2 linked regions of the Lepisosteus oculatus genome follow. The protein of the gene in region 1 purifies or fractionates together with the protein of each later gene. This does not show direct contact. Links are inferred from orthologs where the notes say so. Each region holds a gene or a part of one and is shown in the gene's direction. Other genes may lie near its edges.

Evidence for each region. The genes of interacting proteins can lie anywhere in the genome.
Region 2: the proteins of aak1b (region 1) and ralbp1 purify together in Homo sapiens (affinity purification with mass spectrometry; 3 studies listed by BioGRID and IntAct, counting the BioPlex papers as one, with this or other methods). This does not show direct contact. The link is inferred for Lepisosteus oculatus from reciprocal best matches to the Homo sapiens genes AAK1 and RALBP1.

What each region holds. Positions count from the first base shown.
Region 1 is NC_090697.1:72,603,126-72,611,134, reverse strand, and holds the start of aak1b (AP2-associated protein kinase 1), read left to right. Parts: upstream 1-4,552; 5' UTR 4,553-5,560; coding exon 5,561-5,723; intron 5,724-8,009.
Region 2 is NC_090701.1:56,498,656-56,506,655, forward strand, and holds the start of ralbp1 (ralA-binding protein 1), read left to right. Parts: upstream 1-4,541; 5' UTR 4,542-4,631; intron 4,632-8,000. UniProt on the Homo sapiens protein: Multifunctional protein that functions as a downstream effector of RALA and RALB. As a GTPase-activating protein/GAP can inactivate CDC42 and RAC1 by stimulating their GTPase activity.

The sequences.
Region 1 (8,009 bases):
ATAACATGTGGAGTTGTTGACCTGGTTAATTCTGCACTTTTAAGGGAGTTTCCTTCACAGACAGGGTAAAGGAATCAAATCTCTTTTGCCTCAGAAACTATTACCGATGGACCTGCGACAAGCTTTCAGAATCCTGAAAAGTATTCCCAAAACCAGACAAGTGGATTTGAGGATCCACGAAATGCAGACCAGAGAACACAAGTGCAAAGTAAATGAGGCATTAAAGATCTGGAACAAGAGTTTTACAAAAATGTCGAGGGAGTCTGAAACAAGCCATTTGCTGAATCTGATGCCATGAATAAAACTCTTAAAACAAAATGGCATTAAAAATAAATTAAATGGGCTTTTCTTTTGTTCTTATAAACAGGTAAATGCTTTTTCTTCATGTAGAGTGCAACAAGCAGCTTACGAAAGTAGTCCTAGGGGTTTGAATATGCAAAACAAAGCAAGAAACTACCCTTAAACAAATACTGTAATAATCAGTTTCCCTGTCCCATCATGCCTAGGCTGGACACGTGCTACACTTACAGGTAGTTGATATCATTCTGTTAATAGTGATATTACTTGTGCTGTGTCAATACAGAGCTTTTTATGTGGACAATATCAATGTTTTAGCATAACTATGTTCAATGTTGGAATCACTTGAAGATACAACATGACAGTCTAAGAATAAAGATTAAATGAATGACTGAATACATACAGTATTTAAGTAATAAACAGTCCACTTTTATAGACTCTGGCTCCTGTGTCCCTGAATTGGATTAAGTGATTAGACAGATGAGTAGATAGTGGATAGCCCACTTTAAGCAGTATTAAAGTACTTCTTAAAATAATGAATTATTCCATGACTGATATTTTAGTTTTGTTTCACATTTCAGACCATATATCATATACTGCAAGTAAAAAATGTTTAATCTGTCTAATCTGTTTACTTACTGCATTGTCTTGTAATTGTAATTGTCACATAGATCAATATAAAAGTATTTATTTAACACTGTTTTTCTGAGCTTTATTTTTATCATATTTGTCAATGATCTATCCCTCATACTTCAAGTGTGTTGTAGACTTTCTTCACAGAGAAAAAAGAGAAAGCAAGAGAGTTCCTTTAAACATGCTGGAGCTCGAAGGCCTGTTACAAATCACCAAAACGAAAAGAGGCTCGGGCTAGGCAGCTTGTCGGACAGGTGTTGCAGTCCAGCTGTATTATAAGAGCTGTTAGTCAGGAGTCTTATCAGAAGATGGTCAAGCTGAAGAAAATTATCTCAATAGGAAAGAGGGTTATAGAGAAGAAGGTCTAGTCCAGGTAAATAAGCATTACCACCAAACATCACAGGCTCTTAGAGTCTTAAAATGTCAGATCACAGAAGGTAAACATGCCTGGGTGTGGTCAGTACCATGATGGTAGATCTTTAAGGAAAACCTGATGACTCCTGGAAGCGGTGTAACCGGTCTGCATAAGAACAGGCTGCAATTACACAGGGACTACCAGTAGAGGCCGCCAAAGGTACTCCAATTTGTGTGACACGACTCCAGCTGTTGACTTTTAGATTGTGGTGAAGGAGATGGAGAAATACACTTTCTCGCTGGCCTTTTCTTGTATGTTCCCATCCAGGGAGACCACGGTATTTGAGGGTAGGCTCTACGGATGGTGATCTTGGCAGCACTCTTCCACTCTTTTTTAAACCACAGTTTCTAAAAACCAATGCCCCATTACAGTGACCTGGGACACTGTGCTGTGGGAAGTTGAGATAAGATGTTATTCTGTTCTGGATTTGTCAGACAACCTGGCCTGCTTGATGTTCCCTCTTAATTAAATTGATTAAGCAATCTGCTCACTTATCTTCCAGTTCTGTTGAGTAGAAGGGCTGCTGATACTGTACATAAAGATTATCATGCATCATTTTAAGGATCACCCTAACTCACTCACAAGGTGCAAGGCACTAATCAGATTCTGTTTTCATGGACCTCTTTCCCTGGTACCAGTTAGAACAATGCTATTTATATTATTATCCAGACTATTAATTTTGCCGGATAACACAAATAAAAATGTCACATAACTACGTGCATTAAAACTACTTTGAAATATTGCGTGTAATACAGTACATAGAAGATTAAAAACGCATCCAGCTACCTGGGACTGCTGACTACAGTCCCCAGTCGTATGATATAAATAAATTAAAGCTCATTATTTATAATTAGATTAATGACGTAACTGAGACTTCATATGAGATGGGCAAAAACTAGAAAACCCTATACAAGTCACAGACTGGAGCCTGAGTCCCCATTGTTAATGTATGTGATCCATGTAGGAAATACACTTTTGTATTGTACTGAATGGAACTGCACACTGTGACTGCATGAGATGCTTTTTGAAAAAAAACACACACACACCACAGAAAGAACAAAGACACAGGCTCCACCTGGTCTGGAATGAATACCTCAATATACCTTTGAGATATCCCCCCCCAGAATTAATATTTCATATTTTCCCAGTCTGTTTTGAATAGGCTTGACACACTGAGAAGCATGGGTCTTGTGTTGCTTTTAATCAAGTCAGAGTCGTAGAAGTAAAGAATTCTAGCTGTAGGGATTAAGAGGAGTTGCTTATTGCTGACTGTTTTTCAGTAAAGAAATAAGATTTCAGTGACTGTTAATGAAGTACATAGTAATGTTTAGGTTACAGTTTACTTTATACATGACTAAGTGAATGACTACATTGTTCTACTTCAATATTATATTGAATATATATATATATTTAGGAATATATTAGGTATATGGCTATTTAACATTCCAAATATTGGAATATTAATAACTACTGATGATCCTCATACTGCTAATAATAATTCAGAAAGAATAAAAGTATAGTGTACTAAATTCAAAGGCCATTTCCTTTACTCAACACAGAACATAAGCAGTGATGTGATGGCTCCCTCTTAAGGACGTTTTACGCTGTTACCTAGCAGTTATTTTTATATAGATACTTTAATGATCCAGTTAGGAAAATTGCATGTTTATAAGAAAACAGGAAGGGTTACAAACAAGAAGAGGTCATTCAGCCCAACTAGTCTGTTTGTTCATTTGTAGTTGATTGATCTGGGGATTTCAGATGCTGTTTCCTGAATGAAGCCAGCGTATTGGCTTCACCAACTCAGCCAGATAGCTTGTTCCACTCTTCCACCACCCTTTGGGTAAATAAAACAGTCTTCTGTTCTCTGGTTCATGTTTTGCTCTTCATTCTGAAGACGTCCACTGGGCGAGACTTTGTAAAATCCCTTGAAGATTCTGAAAATTTGTATCACATTCCGTTTTAGTCTTCTGTGTTCAAAACTATAAACGTTCAGTTCTTTTATCATGTCAGTGTGGAACATTTTGCTCATGAAGGAGATGTGGAAAATAATATTTATTTCTAATTATACCCTTTTCAGGTCAGTTGCAATAGTAGCACCAACAATAGCATCATTTAAGTAATTCTTATCCTGATTATTGTAATCGGTCATGAGACAGAGTGACTGTCATAATAACGTGCTCTAGTGTACGGTACCATCTGAATATAAAAAGGGATATAGAGAGAACGTGATGCACTTCTTGGTTGAAATGAATCTAGTCCTATATGTGCAGAACTTCTTTTGGGGGTAGAAAAGGCTATACAGATAAAATTATATTTAAAATTAATACTTAAAAGTATCCTAATATTGTTTTCATTTAATTGAGAAATTAAAACCATAAAACATCTATTACTTTTTTTGTTTTATATCGTGATATATTATGTGAATATTAATGCGTTATTTTAGTGCAATATTTATTTTCTACTATCGATGTTTTGTGTATGCCTGTGCATCTGTGTGGTTATATGCAGATACATATATACATAAGGAATTATGACTTTAAAATATATGCAGTATATAGATTATGCGCAGTCATTTATTGATGTACTGCATCGTGAAAGCTAGAAGGCAAAATGGCTCAAAATGTTTGCATTTTTGTGAATTAATTCTGACCGCCCAAGGTCATGGGCGAAGATCAGACAGAAAGGGAAAAAGAGATAGTCTCGGGTTCGTTCATTCATAGTATTCATTCCAAGATGTGGCCTTTCTGTTAAAACTGCAACATCTACACCAAAAACGACAATACCCAGTTGGTTATATATACACATATTATGAATTGAGGACTACACTACAACCTATTCATGTCGCTTCAGAAAGTTTCTAAGGATAGTCGATACCAAACGATATCCAGAGTTTTTCTGGTGAGCAAAAAAACACTACGAGTACCACAATGCTTTGAGAGAAAGGGGCTGATTTCTGTCAACATCGTATTTCAAACTACTTTTGAAATGTAATGCATTGTACGAGGCCGACACACGCATACTGCTCTGTACAATGATTTGGTTTATTTTTAAAATTGTATTAGGAAAATGTTTAATCGACTCTAATTGCGGATGGGAGTTGTAGTTCTTGAGTTGTCACTTTGCGCTCCTACTTTCCTCACCCAGTGGGTGTAAACCAGCCCGGGACTACAATTACCATCCTTCGCCGCGGAGTGACAGTAATTCAGATTATCGTCTTTATTTTTATTTTCAGATTTTAGGAAAGACGATATCGCGTATCTGCAGTGAATCTCAGTGCACCGAGGCCTAAAAATGCGATAGAGTGGAGAAGTTGTTTTTTCCATTTCCTGTTTTGTTGTATTTCCTGGTATGGGGACGAGCCGCTCAGCTGTTTTTTAAGAGCAAACCTAGACGTTGAAATAAACCAGAGGGGGTTTGGGAAAAAAAGGGCTCTGGTTAATTGGGAATTCGTACATAAAATAAACCCCACAGAAGAGGCCGAAAAGGCTTTGAAGAAATCGTGAAAGACAAGATAAATATACCATACTGATGGCAGGGCTGGAAGGAGAGATTTTCGAATAGAAACAAGCATCCGAACTGGGGCAGGATTTTTTTTTTAAGCTACACAATCATTGCACCAGTTCGCTCGCATCCCTGGCTGGCGTGATGAAATGAGTCTCTACCCATGCCTTATTTACCAAGGCTCCGGGGAAGCAATGGAGAAGACGCTGTTTTAAGCTGAGAAGGGAAGAAAAGAATAAAAAAAGATCGCTTAGCTTTGCTATTGCAATAATTGTATTTAACGCCTGAGCATCTTAGCGACATCGTCGGAAGGGGGTAGCTTTTTAATTTTCTTTATTTTTTTTTTATTTATTCGTCATGGATTCGGCCACTTGCTTCTGGGGCGCCTAACCAGTTTAACCTTGGGCTTTTCTTACGTGGAAGATAGGAAAGTGACAGCCGTATTGCAAGGGGCTGTTTTGCCAAAGCATAAGCAGACAGGATCCCTTTGGCACGTTTTCAGGTTCAGCTGAATAGCTGTCATAGCCGGGACACTCGCCGGATTTGGCACTTTTGGCGCTGCCAGTGTTATACCGCCTTCACACCGGAGCTCGAACCTGGCTGGGGCGGACCGGGACGTTTCCTTGGGATTGCTTTCTCTTTTCGCACATTGAACTTCTTTCCTCCTCCTCCTCCTCCTCCCCCCGTCCCGTCGTCCGACTGCCGGGGAAGATGAAGAAGTTTTTCGACTCTCGTCGGGAGCAGGTCGGCTCCGGCCCGGGCTCCGGCGCCGGCGGAGGCGGCGGGAGCGGGTCCGGCGGCGGCGGCAGTTACATTGGAAGGGTGTTCAGCGTCGGACGGCACCAGGTCACGGTGGAGGAGACGCTGGCGGAAGGTGAGAAACGGCCCGGGCACCCTCAATAGCTGCTGCTTTGTCAGTGTGGTTGATGTTCACACGCTAGCAAGTCACCGCTCACCGCTTTTCTGCAATGGGATGGTTAGCGCGTTTTCCACCTGAGGGCTGTTTGGTGAACTCTACCCTGTGGGCGCCACTGTGGACGTTGTCTGGGACTGGGCTCCGTCATACTGCAGTGCATGCTGTGTATGTGAGCCTAAAATATAGATCAGGCTTTAAAACCACTAACGGGTCCATACATGCCACACAGGTGCAGAGCACTTTAGCACTTGCACCCCATCTATAATAATCTTAGATAAGATTTGATTGTAAAGCTTGGACTCAGCTCCCTCAGTCGAGAGACCACACAGACCAGATCCTTCCTGTTCTTGTTTGGCCAAGCATTTTTGCTCTTTATGTGTGGAAGCTTATGAGGTGCTCCCCAATAGGAAACGGGGATTCTCAGAAGCACCCCCTACTTCTGCAAGAGTGGGAGGGGAAAAGTGTGAACCCCTTCACCTGATAATTCCCTGAGATTTTGGGCCCATGTGTGATGAATGAACACGGAGGAGGTGGGCAGGTCCATGTTGTTGTCTTCCTCTTTCCTGTCGCTCCGTTCCTTAGTCATCATGACATTATCTTGGTGAGTGGTTTTCTTGTTGCTGATACTTTGCGGTTTGCTCTACGTGTTGCTAATGAGCGACACCCTCTATTCGGCACCCCTCCCCACACCAGAAAAAAACCCAACAGATTGTCACAATAACTTCTGCAGGAACATACCAAGAACTGTGCATGCAGCAGTCTTATGAAAACACACTCACACATGCAAGTGGAGATATATCACACAAAGAAAAGGGTACTAGGTGTTTCCTCTAGAGAATCTATAAAGTTCGTTGAGGGTTAGCGTTAGTATTTGGATTGTGAATGAAGGAAAAGGTAAATGTATTGAACATATGCCCTGGAATCATCGGAGAGATTCTTGTAAAACTTAAACACATCCATATACTCAAAAAAAGGCTTCTCAGGAGACTGACACTGAGATTTTCTGAGACCGAGATATAAATAACACTCCCCATGTTAAAGCATTTCCAACCATTCCAGGGTTGAATGCTCCTCTGTATGACTCAACACGAGCTGCTGGATGTTTCATGCTGCTTACCTTTTTTGGGATAAGATGTGGAGTGCAAATATGAAGGAAAGTTCTTTGCCTGGTTAATTAACCGAGTTGCAGAAGCAAATCCGCACTAAGTTCAAAAGGCGAATTCATACGTTCTGTATGACATGGAGCAAACCAAAAAAAAAAATGAAACCGTGCTCCTTCAGTCACAATCGGTTCCATGAACCTTGTTTTGTGTTATTTGTATTCTACACACCTGTGCCTGCTTATATGCTTACCAGAAACGTCCCAAGCAGCTGTTCTCTCTGGCTTTGATTTTTAGAATTAGTTTAGCGTGTGGTCGCTGGTATATTGATCTGTACAATGCTTTTGAAGTGTCCAGGATAACAAAGATGTTTTGACATAAGATGCATGGTGGAATTAAACGGCCAGCGCTCACCTGAGAATATCTGAGGTGGGTGGAGAGGAACAGCTGGATCTGTGCCACTGGGCTTGCAAGCCAGGATGTCTCCAAGACATTGTGGGCTTCATTCGAATGGCAATTGCAAGGACAGCATGTTCCCTGGTTTCTGCAATATAGCCGAACAGCTACGCCTTAAAAGCAAAATCCAGCAAGTACTGCAGTCAGCAGAGAAGGCCGTGAGCATTCACAGCTTAGGTTCTTGTGTAAACAGCTGTGTGCTGAAAAGGGAAAATAAATTATTCTAAAATAGCTGCGTCGGTGGCAGATTCATTCAAAAATCAATTGCATCAAGTGCTTCAAAAGCAGTGAAAACGGTGCACATACTGTACCTATCCCACAGTAGAGTTAATCTTTAAGCAGAGTATGTAGTGGAACCCTATGGCCAGGGGTAATAATGTTAATGTAATAATAATAATAATGTTAATCATAAGAATGTTTCTTTATTAGCCCTGTACAATTTCTTGCATTAGGAATTCGTCTTTTTGCATACCACAGCTTTTCTCCATGGAGACACAGACACACAGACAGGGAGAGAAGCTTGGGTTCAGAGCGCAGGGTCTGCCATTTTACAGCGCCCCTGGAGCAGTTAGGGTTAAGGGCCTTGCTCAGGGGCCCAACGGAGTAGGATTCCTCTGCCGGCCACGGGATTTGAACCGGCAACCTTCCAGTCACAGGCGCGGATCCTGAGCCACAGAGCCACCGCTCC
Region 2 (8,000 bases), on another chromosome or scaffold:
ACTCCAGGGATCTTAAGGGGTTTGGGCTTCAGCAAGGTAGTTCCATGCTCCCACGGCCCTCTGGGTAGAGAAGTTTCTCCTGCTCTCAGTCTTAAACGCACTTCGTGGAGTTTCTGCTTGTGTCCTCTGGTTCGTGTCCCACTTCTGAAGAAGTCGGCTGGTTTCACCATGTCAGTGCCTTTGAGGATTTCGAGTTCTAGTGTCACGTCTGCTCTGGTCAGCACTAAATGGGTTCAGTACCTTCAGTCTGCCGGTATAGGACATTCCTTCAAGCCACAGAATGTATCCGACTGCTCTTCTCCAGCTATATCGATTTTTATGATATGGTGACCACAATTGCAGACAATATTCTGAGTGACATTTTAATAGCGCACTGCACAGTTTTATTATAGCATTTTTTTTAATTTAAGTTCTCCACTTTTAACCATATATCCTAACATTTCCGTTGCTTTCACATGGCAATAGAAGGTGTGAAGGGTGTTAGGTAAACACCCACATCGTTTACATAAGCAGCCTGTTCATTTTGTTTTTTTCCTGTCTCTGATGGTTTCATGAGGGTGCTGGTGTTTGTCTTAACAGTTATATGATGGGAGATAGAATAGTTCTGAGTTCCGAATTGGATGAAACAGCAGAAAATATTGCTTTTATGGCTGTTTTATAATTGGTGTGGATTATTATCATAGCCGAGTCATAATGTTCTGAGTAGTTTCTTTGTTTGTTTCTCTGAAGACACAAGCGGAAATGACGTGAAAGTGTATTTCAGCCCAAGAACGAGAGGCTGAGGGGTGGCTCTGTGGCTCAGGATCTGCGCCTGTGGCTGGAAGGTTGCCGGTTCAAATCCTGTGGCTAGCAGAGGAATCCTACTCCGTTGGGCCCCTGAGCAAGGCCCTTCACCCCAACTGCTCCAGGGGTGCTGTACAATGGCTGACCCTGCGCTCTGACCCCCAGCTTCTCTCCCTGTCTGTGTGTCTCATGGAGAGCAAGCTGGGGTATGCGAAAAGACAAATTCCTAATGCAAGAAATTGTATAGGGCCATGGAGAGCAAGCTGGGGTATGCGAAAAGACAAATTCCTAATGCAAGAAATTGTATAGGGCCAATAAAGTGATCTTATCTTATTTCTTAAGAGCAGGAGTTGCTACTTTGTGCAAAGCATTGTGAGAGTATTGAAAGGGTTCCTCTAACTCTTTTTCTTGCTCGAATGGCAGTTGGGACAAGATCCTTTGCTCAATCCCCTACCAGCAGCCCAACTTGCAAATGTACAAGATGGCCTAAATGGCCTTCTCTTGTTTGAGGCCTTTCTTATGTTTTAGAATTTTATAGTCGTATACCCTAGGAGTTCTGTAAATAAAGCACTTTCTTCCACCGATAAATCTAACAATAAACCAAAGTGGGCTTGATGTTCTCGGCATCACAATATTTTCGATCCCACTGCCTGATTTTTGTCCATGTATAATTTTGTCATTTCAGACTTCTCTTGTGGTCTGTCTTCCAACAGAGCATTATCATGGAGGGTGGGTATTCTCTGTGTTGACAATAATTAGTTGCCACTCATTGCAAGTTTGTCTAACTATGACTCTCTTACATGGCTTTTTCTGCCTTTTTCTTTGATTTGAGGCCTTTAAAAAACGGCGGCCGTGGGGATTTCCACTGTGAGAGCGTGCAAGTAACGAGACCAAACTCTTTCCGTGAACGGGAATAGTTCCTGCTCGTTCATCTGTCCCTCACAGGGGTCCCAGCAGTGAGATAAAAGAGCTGACTGAAGTGAGGTCTCTGTGTTGCTAGCAAATTACATCCTTCAGCTGGGAAAATGAATACTGCTTGGCGTACATGCTCAGCTCTCAGTGTTTACCATGATGCCAGCCTTCACTTGAATAGAAACGAAAGTATCGCTGTGTAGTTTTTCCTTTGGTTGCCAAGAAGCCTTACAAAGGACCCTTTCTCTGAGGAATGAGGTGGGTAAGATCACATGATTCTCTTGAGTTGGCACAGGGAAGTAGATGCATTTCATTAATGCAACAGTGTTCAGGGTAGCTTGCAATGTATTGGGAAATATGAATTCTTTGCTCTGTGTGTATTTCATCTGGTTTTCTGGTGGTGACTGTAACTGGTGTCATTGCGACAACATATTGACCAATTTATTCCGGCTCGTTGTATGCTAGCAGGCATGACCCAGCAACACTCATTTCAGACGGAGGCGACTGTGCTTAAACATTTTTGCTTCACATCTTTTCTGTGAGAAAAATCTGAATTGTCTCTTCTTTTGTGCTGTAAATAAAGAATATCATTTACCAAAAAAGTGGTTTGAAAGTGATCAACGTGTTCTGGGGGGTGAGGAAACTGAGGCAGGTGGCGCTGTCTCACAGCTCGTGGGTTCTGGGGTTGATTCTGGGCTGGCAGGCCGACTCCTGCACACTTCCAGGAACAGCTCGGGGTTTTTCCACATCTCTCGATCCTCATGTTCCCAGATGGATTTCTCACCAGGACTCTCTGCTGTCCCAGGGAAGAAACTGCTGCCTGTCCCTTCTTTCCCGGCAGGAGCCGGCTCTGGACTGTGGTGTTGGCCTAGTGATGGGTTCGCCTAGAAACCCGGAAGAGGCGCCCCCACCTCCGCACCAGCAGTGCGGGCGCCACAGCCCACCCCCCGGAGCAGCACGAGAGCCTGAGAGAGGGCGGCTGTCTGAACGAGGGCACGTGCCAAACACGGACACGCACTGGTGCGCACGGAGAAATACAGACACTGAACTGTGACACTCGTATAGTGCTTTTCTGGACACCCCACTCAAAGCCCTTTCCAGGTAATGGGGATCCCCTCCACCCCCACCAGTGTGCAGCTTCACCTGGATGATGCACCAGTCTGCTCCCCACACACCAGCTCTCAGTGGGGAGGAGAGCGGAGTTCAGAGAGGGGATTATTAGGAGGCCATGATGGGTAAAGATGAGGGGGAAATTTGGCCAAGACACAGGGGTAACACTCCTACTCTTTTCGAGAAACACCCTGGGATTTTTAATGACCACAGAGAGGACCTCAATTTTACGTCTCATCTGAAAGACGGCGCCTGTTTACAGTACAGTGTCCCCGTCACTATATTGGGGCATTAGGACCCACACAGACCACAGGGTGAGCGCCCCCTGCTGGCCCCACTAACACCTCTTCCAGCAGCAGTTTTTCCCAGGAGTCTCCCATCCAGGTACTGACCAGGCTCACACCTGCTGAGCTTCAGTGGGCTCCCAGCAGTGAGCGTCAGGGTGACATGGTTTTGACCACGAGCGCAGGTTAAGTTGGTATCACTGTGGGGTCCCGGAAACGAAGCAATGACCGGGCCTGGAGTAGAACTGGGTTGCTGGTGTGATGGTGGTGGGTCTCCAACACTCCCTGTGGACCAGGATTTCCAAACCAGTGACCCAGCATGGTGACAGAGGACCCTGAGCTTCAGATGAGATGTTAAGCCAAGATCTGTAACCATCTGGTGGTTAAAGATCCCATAGCGCAGCTACATTCTGCTCTACCTACAGTTTTGCCTTAATTAAATTAGTGAAGTAATTGCTGATGTCTCCACCGGTGGGGCTGCTGGTGTGTGACGACTGCCAGGTGTCCCTGTGTGGATGAAGTCCTTTCTACACGCAAGGTGTTTCAGGACATTTGGAGCTAAAGAGAGAGATCAATTCAAGTTATTATTAGTGACTAAAATTGTATTAGTAAACGAATGCTCATTTAATCTCGCCATAATAAAATGTTTATTTTATTCTGGCAATGTGCCATTTCTCATTTTCAGGCTTTGCTTTTATAATTTTGAATTCACAGGAGCAAACTAAGCATTTAGAAATGTGCCCCAGTGCACATATTAAAAAGCACTGCTATTAAAGATATTATTCAGTATGTTTATTATCTCTAGCATTATTTTTCTAATGCCTTAAAAAAAATTAAAACATTATGTGGGAAAATAGTTAAAATTCCAAATATCCCTTATTATCTTGCAGAGATCGTCATAAACATGGGTGCTTACACCTGAATTCAAAATCTAGAAGGTATTATTTATGTATATATAAAAACACCTCATCAGGAGCTTCAAGAAACTCACCGAACGTAGGCATTGGGTGAACTATTCGACGAAAAGCTGACAGCGCCCACTAGCAGAGTCAGGCCCTTATGAAAAAAAAAAGCAAATGTACAATAAAACAAGAAATGCACTATAAAAAGAAACAGGACAATTAGCAATTAGCAATTGTTGTAAGTGGTTAAACGCCTGTAAAATATTGCACTCGTGAACTAGTTAGCTAATACAGCATATGTAATTACAAAATGCATTAAGAATTTTGTAATTTGTTTAGATTCTGTTGCTCTAAAGGGAGCCGTTTAGTAACATTTTCCTTGACGTTGAAACCTACAAACGTATATCAAAGTTATATATAGTTTACTGTATATATATATAAAAACACAGCACAGAGGGCATATGGATACTGTAGTTTTTCTAAGTTTACAGCAGTAAACGTTAACCATTTGTTTTACATCGAAAAACTACAAATCCCAAAGTGCCACCCCCAAAGATCCACCGCGCATGCTCACATGGGGTTTTTTGTGTGTACGAAAACAGCAGGAAAAACAGCTACCCACTGCAATTCACCGAAACAGGTTGGTTGTTAGTTTTGTGTTTCTAGGTTTCAGGAGCGCCAGTTAATATGTGTTTTACCAAGAAGAGAAAAGAAACCGTTAGCCGCGCCGAAGTTTAGGTTTAAAACGATGTTCGTGTGGCAGGGTAGGACAGCGGACTGGCGGATCCTGTGTTGAGACTCATTTGGGCCTCGGTTCGTGCAGAGCTGAGCCCTGGGTCTGACGAGCTGGTGGGACCGGAGGATTTAACGTCGGTCCTGTGGCTGGGAGTGCGTGATCATTTATTTAATACACGTTTCTTTAAAAGCGTCTTCCTGCGCAGGTAATGACAGTAAACGTGTCTGTCGCCGGCCTTTCCAGCCCTCCACCCCCCCGGACAGGACGGGGAGAGGGAGATCGTGTCGTCGTTGTTGTTGTTGTGAGTTTATGTGAAGCTGTCGGGAGGAAAAGAAAGGCTCGTCGCACGAATTCGCTGAGTAACAGTAGAGGAGTAACCCCAAAAAGTAACAGCAGAAATCGGTCTGATTGCGGTGGTGGGGTATAATGTCGCCGAGGTGCCCGTTTAGAAGAAAAGAAATAGATGTGTCCCTGGAGGAGCTGGGGGTGGAAAGCGGATTTCGAGTGAAAGTGGGTTCGCGATGAGTTTGTGTGACATCTTGTCCCTGTTCCCCTGGCCGCCTGACACCGGTCCACGCAGTTGAGGTGTGACTTCATGAGAGAGCCCAGGACAGCAGGAGCAGGGTGTCTGTCAGCGTGTGTCTCTGTCTGTGTGTGTCCCTGTCTGTCTCTCTGTCTCTGTCTGTGTGTGTCCCTGTGTGTGTCCCTGTCTCTGTCTGTGTGTGTCCCTGTCTGTCTCTCTGTCTCTGTCTGTCTCTGTCTCTGTCTTCCCGAGTGGGGGCAGCTGCTGCTCGTTCCCAGACGAGTTCTGCTTTCCAGGAAGGACCGGTCAGGGGGACGTGTCGCTTGACGCAGTTTGCTGGAAATTGAAGTCAACTTGACCCGATCTGCATGGATTCACCGTGTAGCAGGAATTCTGCGTTCGCTGTACAGACGGTTTTTATATATATATAGTTATCTGACACGGCGTGCTGCAGCAAATAGGTCAGCTTTGCATCCACAGCCAGGTAAAAAAACAACAACTTTTTTTCTTGGGTAATCCACTTGTTTGGTCGGGACAAAAAAAAACCCGCAAGATTTTACTTCTAAGCATCCTGATCATTTTGCTTCAGAAACGTCTGGAATAAGAATAACCGCCTGGGTGATTGGTTTACGAGCCCTTACACATTTCTCCGTGTGTTTTGACTTAATCAGGGATGTCGTCTCCGGCTCGCGAATATTTCTTAAGCCTCGTGTAGATATTATGGTGGGCTGTAGACTTGCCTTTTTTGTGACCGTGTTGTCCTTTCTGATACTCCCACCGTAAACTGATTGAAGCTTTTGGCTTTTGATGGTGTTGATCTCTCTCTCTCTCTGGGAGCCTGACTGTTGTCTCTTCCGTCATTTCTGCAGTTTTGTGCCGACAGGACACAAGTAGTTTGTGTATCATCTAGTAAGCCTACGTTTTCCTCATTTTTATGAGCACCTCTTTCATAAACTGTTTAAAAAATGCGATTGGAGGAAGCCTGTTTGTTGATCACAGCAGTGGTTGATGAAGTGTCCAGACTCAGTTATGAAGTTTGGAAGCAAACATGACAGAAAAGTCCTGACTCTGGCTAGGTACGTTCAGAAATGACAGATTATTCTTTCCTTCTCTTTTAGTAATAACTACAAGGAGCGGGAGAGTCTAAGTGAAAAGGAAAAAGGGTTTTGTTACGTAAAGAAATGAGCGTTTTTGAGACGCTACGGCCCACACTGCAGAGGGGTTTGTTTTTACACGCTGGGCAGCGTACCTGAGGACAGGCCCAGGAAGCAGAGCCTCTGTTATTGCAGACCATCATTCAGAAAACCAGGGGGCTGAAACAGTTCTGATGGGGTTTTTCCACTTTGTTCTCAGAAAAGCAGTAGTATAACTATTGCTCCAGGAAAGCAAATGACCCCGAAGATCTGTATGACGATGTTTTTCCTTAAAACGTACCATGCCATTACACCTAGATTCCTCAATTCCACCCAGGCCTGGAATTCATTTCCTCGCCTAGGAAGTGTGCAATTTTCCTTTCAGGTGGTTATGACTCATTTGAAATAAATGTATAGTCTGAAATTCCCCAGTGATATTCTGGAATACAGTGGTGCTAATAACATTCCCACACTTAAACATATAGTTGTTTTGTCACATGAGTGTTATTGGTATTTCGTGTATTATTATTGTTATTGAAATAGATCAGGTGGGGAGCTGCGTCGGCACGCGTAGTCTGCAAAGGAACAAGTAACAGGTTTATTCCCTGCTGAAAAGAGAAGAGAGAAAACGCAACGTTTCGGTTGTGGAGCCTTCTTACTCTGCTCTCCTCCCCACTGAGAGCTGGTGTGTGGGGAGCGTTCTGGCGCACTATGGCTGCCGTCGCATCATCCAGGTGGGGCTGCACACTGGTGGTGGAGGGGATCCCCATTACCTGTAAAGTGCTTTGAGTGTAGTGTCCAGAAAAGTGCAATACAAGTGTAAACAACTTTTTATTATTAATTATTATTATTATTATTATTATTATTATTATAGTACAGGGTACAGAAAACTGTGCGAGCGATATCGGAGTGCAGTATAGTCATTCAAATTAGGGACAGCCATTCCAGTGCCAGTGCTTTGTGAAAATCTGCTTGTTGTACTTCGTGAAGTTTAATATGTTTAAAATGTGCAATATGGTCATGGGTTGCTGAGGGTTTTTGTCGCTTGTTTGACTGAGCTTTATGTTCAGCGGGCAGAGCCTGTTGGAGATGGCTGGCGTGAGACTCCTTGCCCTTGAGCTCCTGAGGTGAGACAGCCGTGACTTGAAAGATGGGCTGTGTGGATGTCAGTGCCCCCTGCTGGTAGGAGGAGAGACTGTCGAGACTGAGAAGAATTGGTTTCCTCTGTTCATCTAGAATAAAGAATTTATTTCATACTAGAATGGTTGCACAGCAGGATAGTACTGTTCTAGGGAGAAGGGTAAAATGTTCCCTTTGTCAAAGGTCTCCAGTGTGTTTACCTTTAAGTAAAATCGGTTGTACAGTCTAGTACAATTTCTGAGCAGCTGTTAGGCACCAGCAGTGCTGTAATGTATACATCCTGTGTGCTGTTCTGCTCTCAAGTCGTTGAGCGACCTGCAGTTCCAGATCTAGTCCGCAGAGTGATTGGGCTGTACTCGCACTCCCTAGTGAATTAAGGGCACAGGGCAAGGTCACAATTTAAAACTAAAAGGTGCTTTAGGATGGAGAGCAGGGACCCCTTCTTCACACAGAGGAGAAGGTACTGGACCTGCAGCA